Linked DNA regions of Macaca mulatta. The protein of the gene in region 1 purifies or fractionates together with the protein of each later gene. This does not show direct contact. Links are inferred from orthologs where the notes say so. Each region holds a gene or a part of one and is shown on either strand. Other genes may lie near its edges. The genes, in order: PPP1R18 and PPP1CA.

The links.
Region 2: the proteins of PPP1R18 (region 1) and PPP1CA purify together in Homo sapiens (affinity purification with mass spectrometry; 5 studies listed by BioGRID and IntAct, counting the BioPlex papers as one, with this or other methods). This does not show direct contact. The link is inferred for Macaca mulatta from reciprocal best matches to the Homo sapiens genes PPP1R18 and PPP1CA.

What each region holds. Positions count from the first base shown.
Region 1 is NC_133409.1:152,366,677-152,370,332, reverse strand, and holds the end of PPP1R18 (phostensin), read right to left. Parts: intron 2,922-3,656; coding exon 2,711-2,921; intron 799-2,710; coding exon 779-798; downstream 1-778.
Region 2 is NC_133419.1:6,981,882-6,986,170, reverse strand, and holds the start of PPP1CA (serine/threonine-protein phosphatase PP1-alpha catalytic subunit), read right to left. Parts: upstream 2,801-4,289; 5' UTR 2,725-2,800; coding exon 2,670-2,724; intron 2,144-2,669; coding exon 2,012-2,143; intron 1,863-2,011; coding exon 1,632-1,862; intron 605-1,631; coding exon 500-604; intron 156-499; coding exon 1-155. UniProt on the Homo sapiens protein: Protein phosphatase that associates with over 200 regulatory proteins to form highly specific holoenzymes which dephosphorylate hundreds of biological targets.

The DNA.
Region 1 (3,656 bases):
CCTTAGCCACCCGACACCATCTCAATTCAGTTCAATTGTGAACCACTAGGAGAAACAGAATTAAATAAGTATCAACAGGTACAGAGTTAAGATTTCCAGCCTTCCCTCTTGGGGAAAACTAAGGCAAAGTAATACTGAGAAAAAGTGGAGGAAGCCACACCTTCAGGTCACTCCAATGAGAAGACTGGAGGGGAGAGAGGAAAGAATTCCACGCAGACACAGCAAGTAAGCGTGGCTTGTAAACCTGGGACTTTGGCAGGTGGGGCTGGGAGCTGGTGGAATTTGTAAACCAGGCTGTGGTCAAGGAGGAGGCAGGAGCTGTAAACAAAGGGGCAGTGACCTAGGAAATGAGGGAGATGTGCCTATAAATGGAGTGGGCTCTGGGCCTCGAGAGACATGAGTGCTTAAATCCCAAGAGTCCCCACGGGATGGTGGGGAGGAAGGCTGTGGGGAGAGTGTACCCTGCCATGGAGGGCAGGTGCTCCATCTCCACCCTCCAGGGAGTTCTGTGCTCCTTCTCAGCACTTGGCGCTCACTCTTAGATCACCCAGGATGTACCAGCACGTTTAACCCCACCCACACCAGGGACTTTGGATTAGGGTAGAAATTGGGCAATTGGCTCTGCCCCCAGAAACAGGGTGGGGAAAGCAAGTTACAAGATGTTGGTTGTTGCCCTTCCCTGCCAGGCTCATTATCAGGGTCTGCTGCCCTGAATCTTCCGGGATCCAGGATCTTCAGTTATAAGAAGGAAGGAGGTATATCCCTATGTTGAAGATGGTCACCGCCGGCAGGACTCATCTGTGGGAGAGGGGGCAATAATGACAGAGAATGAGTGAGAGCCTCTGCCTTCTGCCCACCCTTCCCCCACACACAAATTGAAGGGCAGTTGGCATGCAGGAAGTCCTATAATATCTTCCACATCTAAAGCACGTTACCATCAGTAACCACATCCATCACTCATTTAGCTCGGATTTTGTGCCAAGCATCCTCATAACTGTTTAATGTCACCATAACTCCAGGAGAGATTAAGTAATTTGATATCCAGCTGTGGCTCTTGGTGCTTCACAAAAACTACTTAATCTTGGCCTGGAGCCCCTGTAATCTGAGCAATTTAGGAGGCTGAGGCGGGAGGATCACTTGAAGTCAGGAGTTCAAGACCAGCCTGGCCAACATGGGGGAACCCTGTCTCTACTAAAAATATAAAAACTAGCCAGGTGTGATGGTACACATCTGTAATCCCAGCTACTTGAGAGACTGAGGCATGAGAATCGCTTGAACTTGGGAGGCAGAGGTTGCAGTGAGCCAAGATTGTGCCACTGCACTCCAGTCTGGGCGACAGAGGGAGACGCTATCTCAAAATAAATAAATAAATTAATTAATTAAATAAAATAAATTACTTAATCTTTTCTACAACTCTAGGAGGTAGTTTTTGGTTTCTGTTTTTTTGAGACGGAATTTCACTCTGTAGCCCAGGCTGGAGTGCAGTGGCATCATTTCCGCTCACTGCAACCTCTGCTTCCCAGCTTCAAGTGATTCTCCTGCCTCAGACTCCCGAGTAGCAGGGATTGCAGGTGTCCACCTCCATGCCTAGCTAATTTTTGTATTTTTAGTAGAGATGGGTTTTCACTATGTTGGCCAGGCCGGTCTTGAACTTCTGACCTTGAGTGATCCACCTGCCTCAGCCTCCCAAAGTGCTGGAATTACAGGCGTGAGCCACCGTGTCTGGCCTGTTTGTTTCTTTCGAGACAGGGTCTTCCTCTATTGCCCAGGCTGGAGTGCAGTGGGTGGTGCAATATCGGCTCACTGCAGCCTCCAACTTCTGAGGTCAAACGATCCTCCCACCTCAGCCTCCCAAGTAGCTGGAACCACAGCTTTGCACTGCCACGCCTGGCTAATTCTTTTATTTTTATTTATTTATTTTTTTTAGAGATGGAGTCTCGCTCTGTTGTCCAGGCTGGAGTGCAGTGGGGTGATCTCGGCTCACTGCAAGCTCCGCCTCCCAGGTTCACACCATTCTCCTGCCTCAGCCTCCCAAGTAGCTGGGACTACAGGTGCCCACCACCACGCCCGGCTAATTTTTTTTTATTTTTAGTAGAGATGGAGTTTCACCGTGTTAGCCAGGATGGTCTCAGTCTCCTGACTTCATGATCCGCCCGCCTCGGCCTCTCAAAGTGCTGGGATTACAGGCGTGAGCCACCGTGCCTGGCCCACACCGGGATAATTTTTGTATTTTTTTGTAGAGACAGGATTTTGCCATGTTGCCCAGGGTGGTCTTGAACTCCTGGGCTCAAGCGATCCACCCGTCTTGGCTTCCCGAAGTGCTGGGATTACAGGCATGAGCCACAGGAGGTAGTTATTATTAACTTCATTTCATAAATAATAAACTAAAGCCAGATATCGGATGGTTTCCCTGAGATCACACAATTAAGAGACAAGCTGCAATTCCAACTCAGGCCTGTCGACCCACCCTGTGGTTTTGACCAGATTACGGTACTCAGGAAGAGTTCTCGTTTTGAAACTTGAAGACTCAATGTGTACTTCACTGCCCGGGACCTCAGTTTGCCCATCTATTGAAGGAGCAGGTTGGACCAGAGGACCACCAAGCCCCTTCCAAGCGCCTACATGCAATCCTCCCTCCTCTTCTCTCCTGGACCGCAGCGCCAGCTCTGACAGCAGGGGGCGCTCTCGAGCCGGCGGAGCCTCCGCTTACCCACAATCAGGGCCTTGGTGCGCAGCCCGCCCTGGAGCTCTGGCTGCAGCAGCAGCAGCTCTTCCTCATCCTCTTCGTCGTCGGGTTGGGCTGCTGGGGGGTTGGGGGCACTGGGGACCTCAGGCTCCGGGCCCAGCTCCTCCAGTACCGAACTCTCGGAGGGGTATTGGTACGTGGTCTCCAGGGCTGTCTCGCTGAAGGAGATCTTAAGCTGAAGGAGGGAGAAAAAGGGGGCAGGAGGCAAGGTCAGCAGGGGTGAGGCCCGTGGGGGTTGAGGGGGAGAAAGCGGGGGGGCGGGGGGGGGAGTCTGCAAGGGAGCAGGTGGGGCGGGGGAAAGGTGGGGGTGGGGGTTGGACTTAGGCGCCCCCCCTCACTCTCTCCCATCCACTCTGGGATCCAGTTTTCCTTTACACACTGGCTTTCCAATCCCAGAGTTTCCTTCTTCGATCATATAATTTCAAAACATCAGACTTTGCCCTGTAGGTTGGCAGGGGCTTGGGAGGCAGAAGTGAATAACATAAGACCAAGGTCCCTGCTCTTTCGAGTGTGGGAGGCAGAGGGGTAAAAAGAAATTAAAATACGTGGCGATTAGTCTTGTGATCAGAACCGAGTCTTTGGGCACCTTGGAGGCAATAGAGTAAACTTCCCAGAGGAGCCCAGCAGACTGGCCAGTGGGGAAAGAGTAAACTTCCCAGAGGAGCCCAGCAGACTGGCCAGTGGGGAAAGAACTGGCTGGGGAGCCAGTCTCAACCAAAACCATGGTTTTCATACCCACAGCCCCTTGCTGTCCTATGCGAAACCCAGGAGCCTGGGCACCTGTTCCCTCCCACTCCCCTCATTCCTCTCCTATCCATAGCAAAGGGGGTCTAGGGCCTGGGAAGAGATGGGAGATGAATAGAAAGGCCTAGAGGAACCAAGAGACTCCCACAACACACAGGGGAAAGAT
Region 2 (4,289 bases), on another chromosome or scaffold:
GGTAAAAGAGACGCCACGGTCGTTCTCGCCCCAGCCCTGCACGTCCTTGTCAGGGTCAGACCACAGCAGGTCACACAGCAGGCCCTGGTCAGGCACGTCTGTGGGCCGCATGATCCGCCGAATCTGCTCCATGGACTGCAGGTCCGGGGAGAGGCCTGGAGGGCCAGAAGGAAGGTCACTTCCTCAAACAAGGACATCCTTCCTCCAGGAAGCCTTGGCCAGTGAGCCTCACCTTTTCCACCACCCTCCTGGTCCCTCCACTGGTCTCCTGGGTGCCTAGGCAGGCAGAAGCCATCCCCTTCCCCTCAGCTTTTTCAAGTTCCCAAACAGGCACAAAGGCGCCCCTGGCCTCCGGAGCACAGAGCTCCTGGGAGAAAGGAGACAAGCCCGCCCCATGTAGGATGCACATCAAGGAAGTGAGTGCAGCCCAGCACAGGGGGGTATGGGAGACACTTCCTGAAAGGAGTGACTTCCCAGATGACAACTAAGGAGAGCTCACCTCCGTGGCAGCAAAAGATCTTTTCGTCCACTATGGCCGCAATGGGCAGGCAGTTGAAGCAGTCAGTGAACGTTTTCCACAGTTTGATGTTGTAGCGTCTCTTGCCTGCCCAGAGGGAGGTAGCTGTGAGGGGTCTGCCTGCTCCACCCTTAGCCGGGGTCTCTGGGCTATTCAGCCGCAGATGGGAGAGAGTCAGGCACCAATGCAAACCACCCCCACCCCTGCCGCCTGTCAGCCTTCCAGGAGTAATTCTAGTTACTTTTTATTTTAATTTGTAATTTAAACAAACAGGATCTGGGCAGGGCATGGTGGCTCACACCTGTAATCCCAGCACTTTGGGAGGCTGAAGCAGGCAGATCACCTGAGGTCAGAAGTTCAAGACCAGCCTGACCAACATGGAGAAACCCTGTCTCTACTAAAATACAAAAAAATTAGCCAGGCGTGGTGTCGCATGCCTGTAATCCCAGCTACTCGGGAGGCTGAGGCAGGAGAATCGCTTGAACCCGGGAGATGGAGGTTGTAGTGAACTGAGATCACACCACTGCACTCCAGCCTGGGCAACAAGAGCGAAACTCCGTCTCAAAAAAGTAAAGAAACAGGGTCTTGTTCAGTCACCCAGGCTGGAGTGCAGTGGCAAGATCATAGCTCACTGTAACTTGGAGCTTCTGAGTCCAAGTGATCTTCCCGCCTCAGCCTCCCACCAGAAGTAATTCTAAAGCACCCGAGTCCACTGGAAACTGAGTTCCAATCTGGACCAGCCTCAGGGTTGGCACTCCTTGCACGCCCCGGCCCACGAGCCGGGCCAAGTACAGGTCTGGTTTATCTCAGCTTCTGGACAGCAGAGCTCATCTGCAAACATCCTAAATGCTTAGTAGCAAATGTAGAGGGAACGTCACCAGGCAGGGCCCTGGGGGAAAGCACTAGAATACGGACAGTCCTTCAGTCAGCAACCATTCCCCAGACCCCATGCCAGGAGGGGCAGGGCAGGCACAAGAACGGACCTGGGCCCTGCCTTCGTGGAGTGCACAGTCTAGCAAGTGTCTGTCAGATATCAGGCCAATGTGAAGGTCCCACTGAATGACAAGGAGTGTGGTTCAGGACCCGGGCAGCCCCAGACGCTCAGACCACTCACACTCATCGTAGAAACCGTAGATGCGGTTGATGCTGGCGCACTCGTGGTTCCCACGGAGCAGGAAGAAGTTCTCGGGGTACTTGATCTTATAGGCCAGCAGCAGGCAGATGGTCTCCAAGGACTGCTTGCCCCTGTCCACATAGTCCCCCAGAAAGAGGTAGTTGCTCTCCGGAGGGAAACCGCCATACTCAAATAGTCGCAGAAGGTCATAGTACTGGCCGTGTATATCACCTGTGACCCAGGGAATCGGGTAAGCTAGATGCAGGGTCTAGACCTGAACCCAGGACCAGGACTGGGCTCAAGGGAGGAGGACTCCAGGAACTCTGTGGGGGCCAGTGCCACTTTCAGGAAAGCAAGGGGACCTGGGTCGGGGGGCTCACCGCAGATCTTGAGGGGTGCCTCCAGCTCCAGAAGAATGGGCTGGCTCAGGAAAATCTCCCGGGATTTCAGGCACAGGCCGCGGATCTCGTTCTCTGTCAGCTGTACATTCTTGCCAGGCCGCGAGCCCTGCACTGGGGGCGCAATGGGGTGTCAAGACCCGGGACCCTGACAGGTGGAGGGTGGGCGACACGGGTGGCCCCATGGATACCTCCGGGGGCGCCTAGGCCTCCTCGGCCGCTCCTTGCCCGCAGGCAGCTGTTGCTGCTGAGCCTCCCGGGACCTCGGCCTCAAGCCTCCCAAGGGAAGCCCCCAACTACCCTCAGCGCCTCGGGAGGCGACTGTCGTGCGCAGGGGGCTGCCACCCAAACACCTCACAGCGCAGGACCCCTTCCTGGACCGGGCTTCCCGGGTTTCTCCCTCGCCTCAAGAACCCAGGCAACCCGTGCGCCCCCGGCCCGGGAGAGGGGGCTGCTCCGCGCGTCGGAGCGGGCCCAGGACCTCTCAGGCGCGTCCGCGGGGGGGCGGCTGCGGCCACCGAACCTCGCGGCCCGTCCCCGCCCAGTCTAAGCTGGCCCCGGGGGCCCGCCCGCGCGCCACTTCCGGGCCCGGCAGGGGGCCCGGGAGCGGCGGACGCAGGCCTCCCCCGCCGCGACCAACCTTCTAGCAGGCGCCCGATGATCGAGTCAAGGTTGAGCTTCTCGCTATCGGACATGGCGGCGCCGCCGCTCCAGCCCAGCAGCTCCGGGCCCGCTCCTGCCTCCCGCCCTCCGGCAGCCTCCTTCCGGCCTGGCTCTCCTTCCGCCCGCCCCAGTCCGCCCCCGGCCCGCGGCCCCGCCTCCGGGCCTCCCGGGCCCGCCCCGCCCGGTCCCCCGCGCTCTAGCGCCCCCGCTGGACGTGAAGCGCCGCGGCCTGGGGGGCGGGGCCTTGGCGGCGGGGTCTGTCGGGGGCGCGTCCAACTGGTTACGCCCCAGAGGAGGCGCCCAGCCCGGTTCAGAGGATGTGGGGCCGGAAGAACTGTGGAAGTTGTTTTTCTCTTTCAAAAGCAGAACAGCCGTTCCCACCCCTGCCCTGGGTGGAGGGTGTTGTGAATATATTAATAACCGGCTGCTAGGCACTGAGGGTTAACTGCTCGAAGTGCAGGAAAGGAAACTGAGGCTCAAGAGATATGAACAGACTGGTGCAAGACCTGGACCTCGCATTCACGTACGACCCCCTTTTTCGTGGGTCTCCGTGGCCCCCAGGCGGCTGACCACACTCAAAGACAGCTACGGCTGAACTTCCAGCGCACTTTGGTCCTTGGGGCATGATAAATTAATATTTTCTTACAAGTCCCATAATTAGCTTTTATTTATTTATTTTTTTTGAGACAGAGTTTTGCTCTGTCGCCTAAGCTGGAGTGCAGTGGCGCGACTTTGGCTCACTGCAACATTCGCTTCCCAGGTTCAAGGGGTTCTCCTGCCTCAGCCTCTGGAGTAGCTGGGATTGCAGGCGCGCGCCACTGCGCCTGGTTTTTGTGTGTTTAGCAGAGGTGGGGTTTCGCCATATTGGCCCGGCTGGTCTTGAACTCCTAACCTCAAGTGATCCACTGGCCTCGACCTCCCAAAGTCCTGGGGGGGTTACAGGCGTGAGCCAACAAGCCTGGCCCCATAATTAGCTTTTGAGTAGCACAGTAATATTGCAGGGTGTGCACGTAAAAAGAATTACTATATGAGCAGACATGGCTGGGTGCAGTGGCTCACGCCTGTAATTCCAGCGCTTTGGGAGGCTGAGGTGGGAGGATCGTTTGAGGTCAGGAGTTCAAGACCAGCCTGGCCAACATGGTGAAACCCCATCTCTCTAAAAATACAAAAAGTTAGCTGGGCATGATGGCAGCCGCCTGTAATCTCAGCTATTGGGGAGGCTGAGGCAGGAGAATCACTTGAACCTGGGAGGCGGAGGTTGCAGTGGGCCAAGGCCCATTGCACCCCCTAGCCGAGGTGACAGTGTGAGACTCTGTCTCAAAGGAGCAGACGATAAATTAACCTTAATTCTTGTTGGAACCCTGAGTTGGGTGCTTTACATGCCAGTAACCTCAGAACTGGAGGTGGGCCTGCTGTGGCGGCTTAGGCCTGTAATTCCAGCACTTTGGGAGGCTGAGGTGGGATGGTCTCTTGCGTCCAGCCTGGGCAACACGGCGAAACCTCATCTCAACAAAAAAATACAAAAATTAGCTGGGCATGGTGGTGCACGCCTGCAGTCCCAGCTACTAGGGAGGCTGAGGCAGGAGGATCTCTTGAG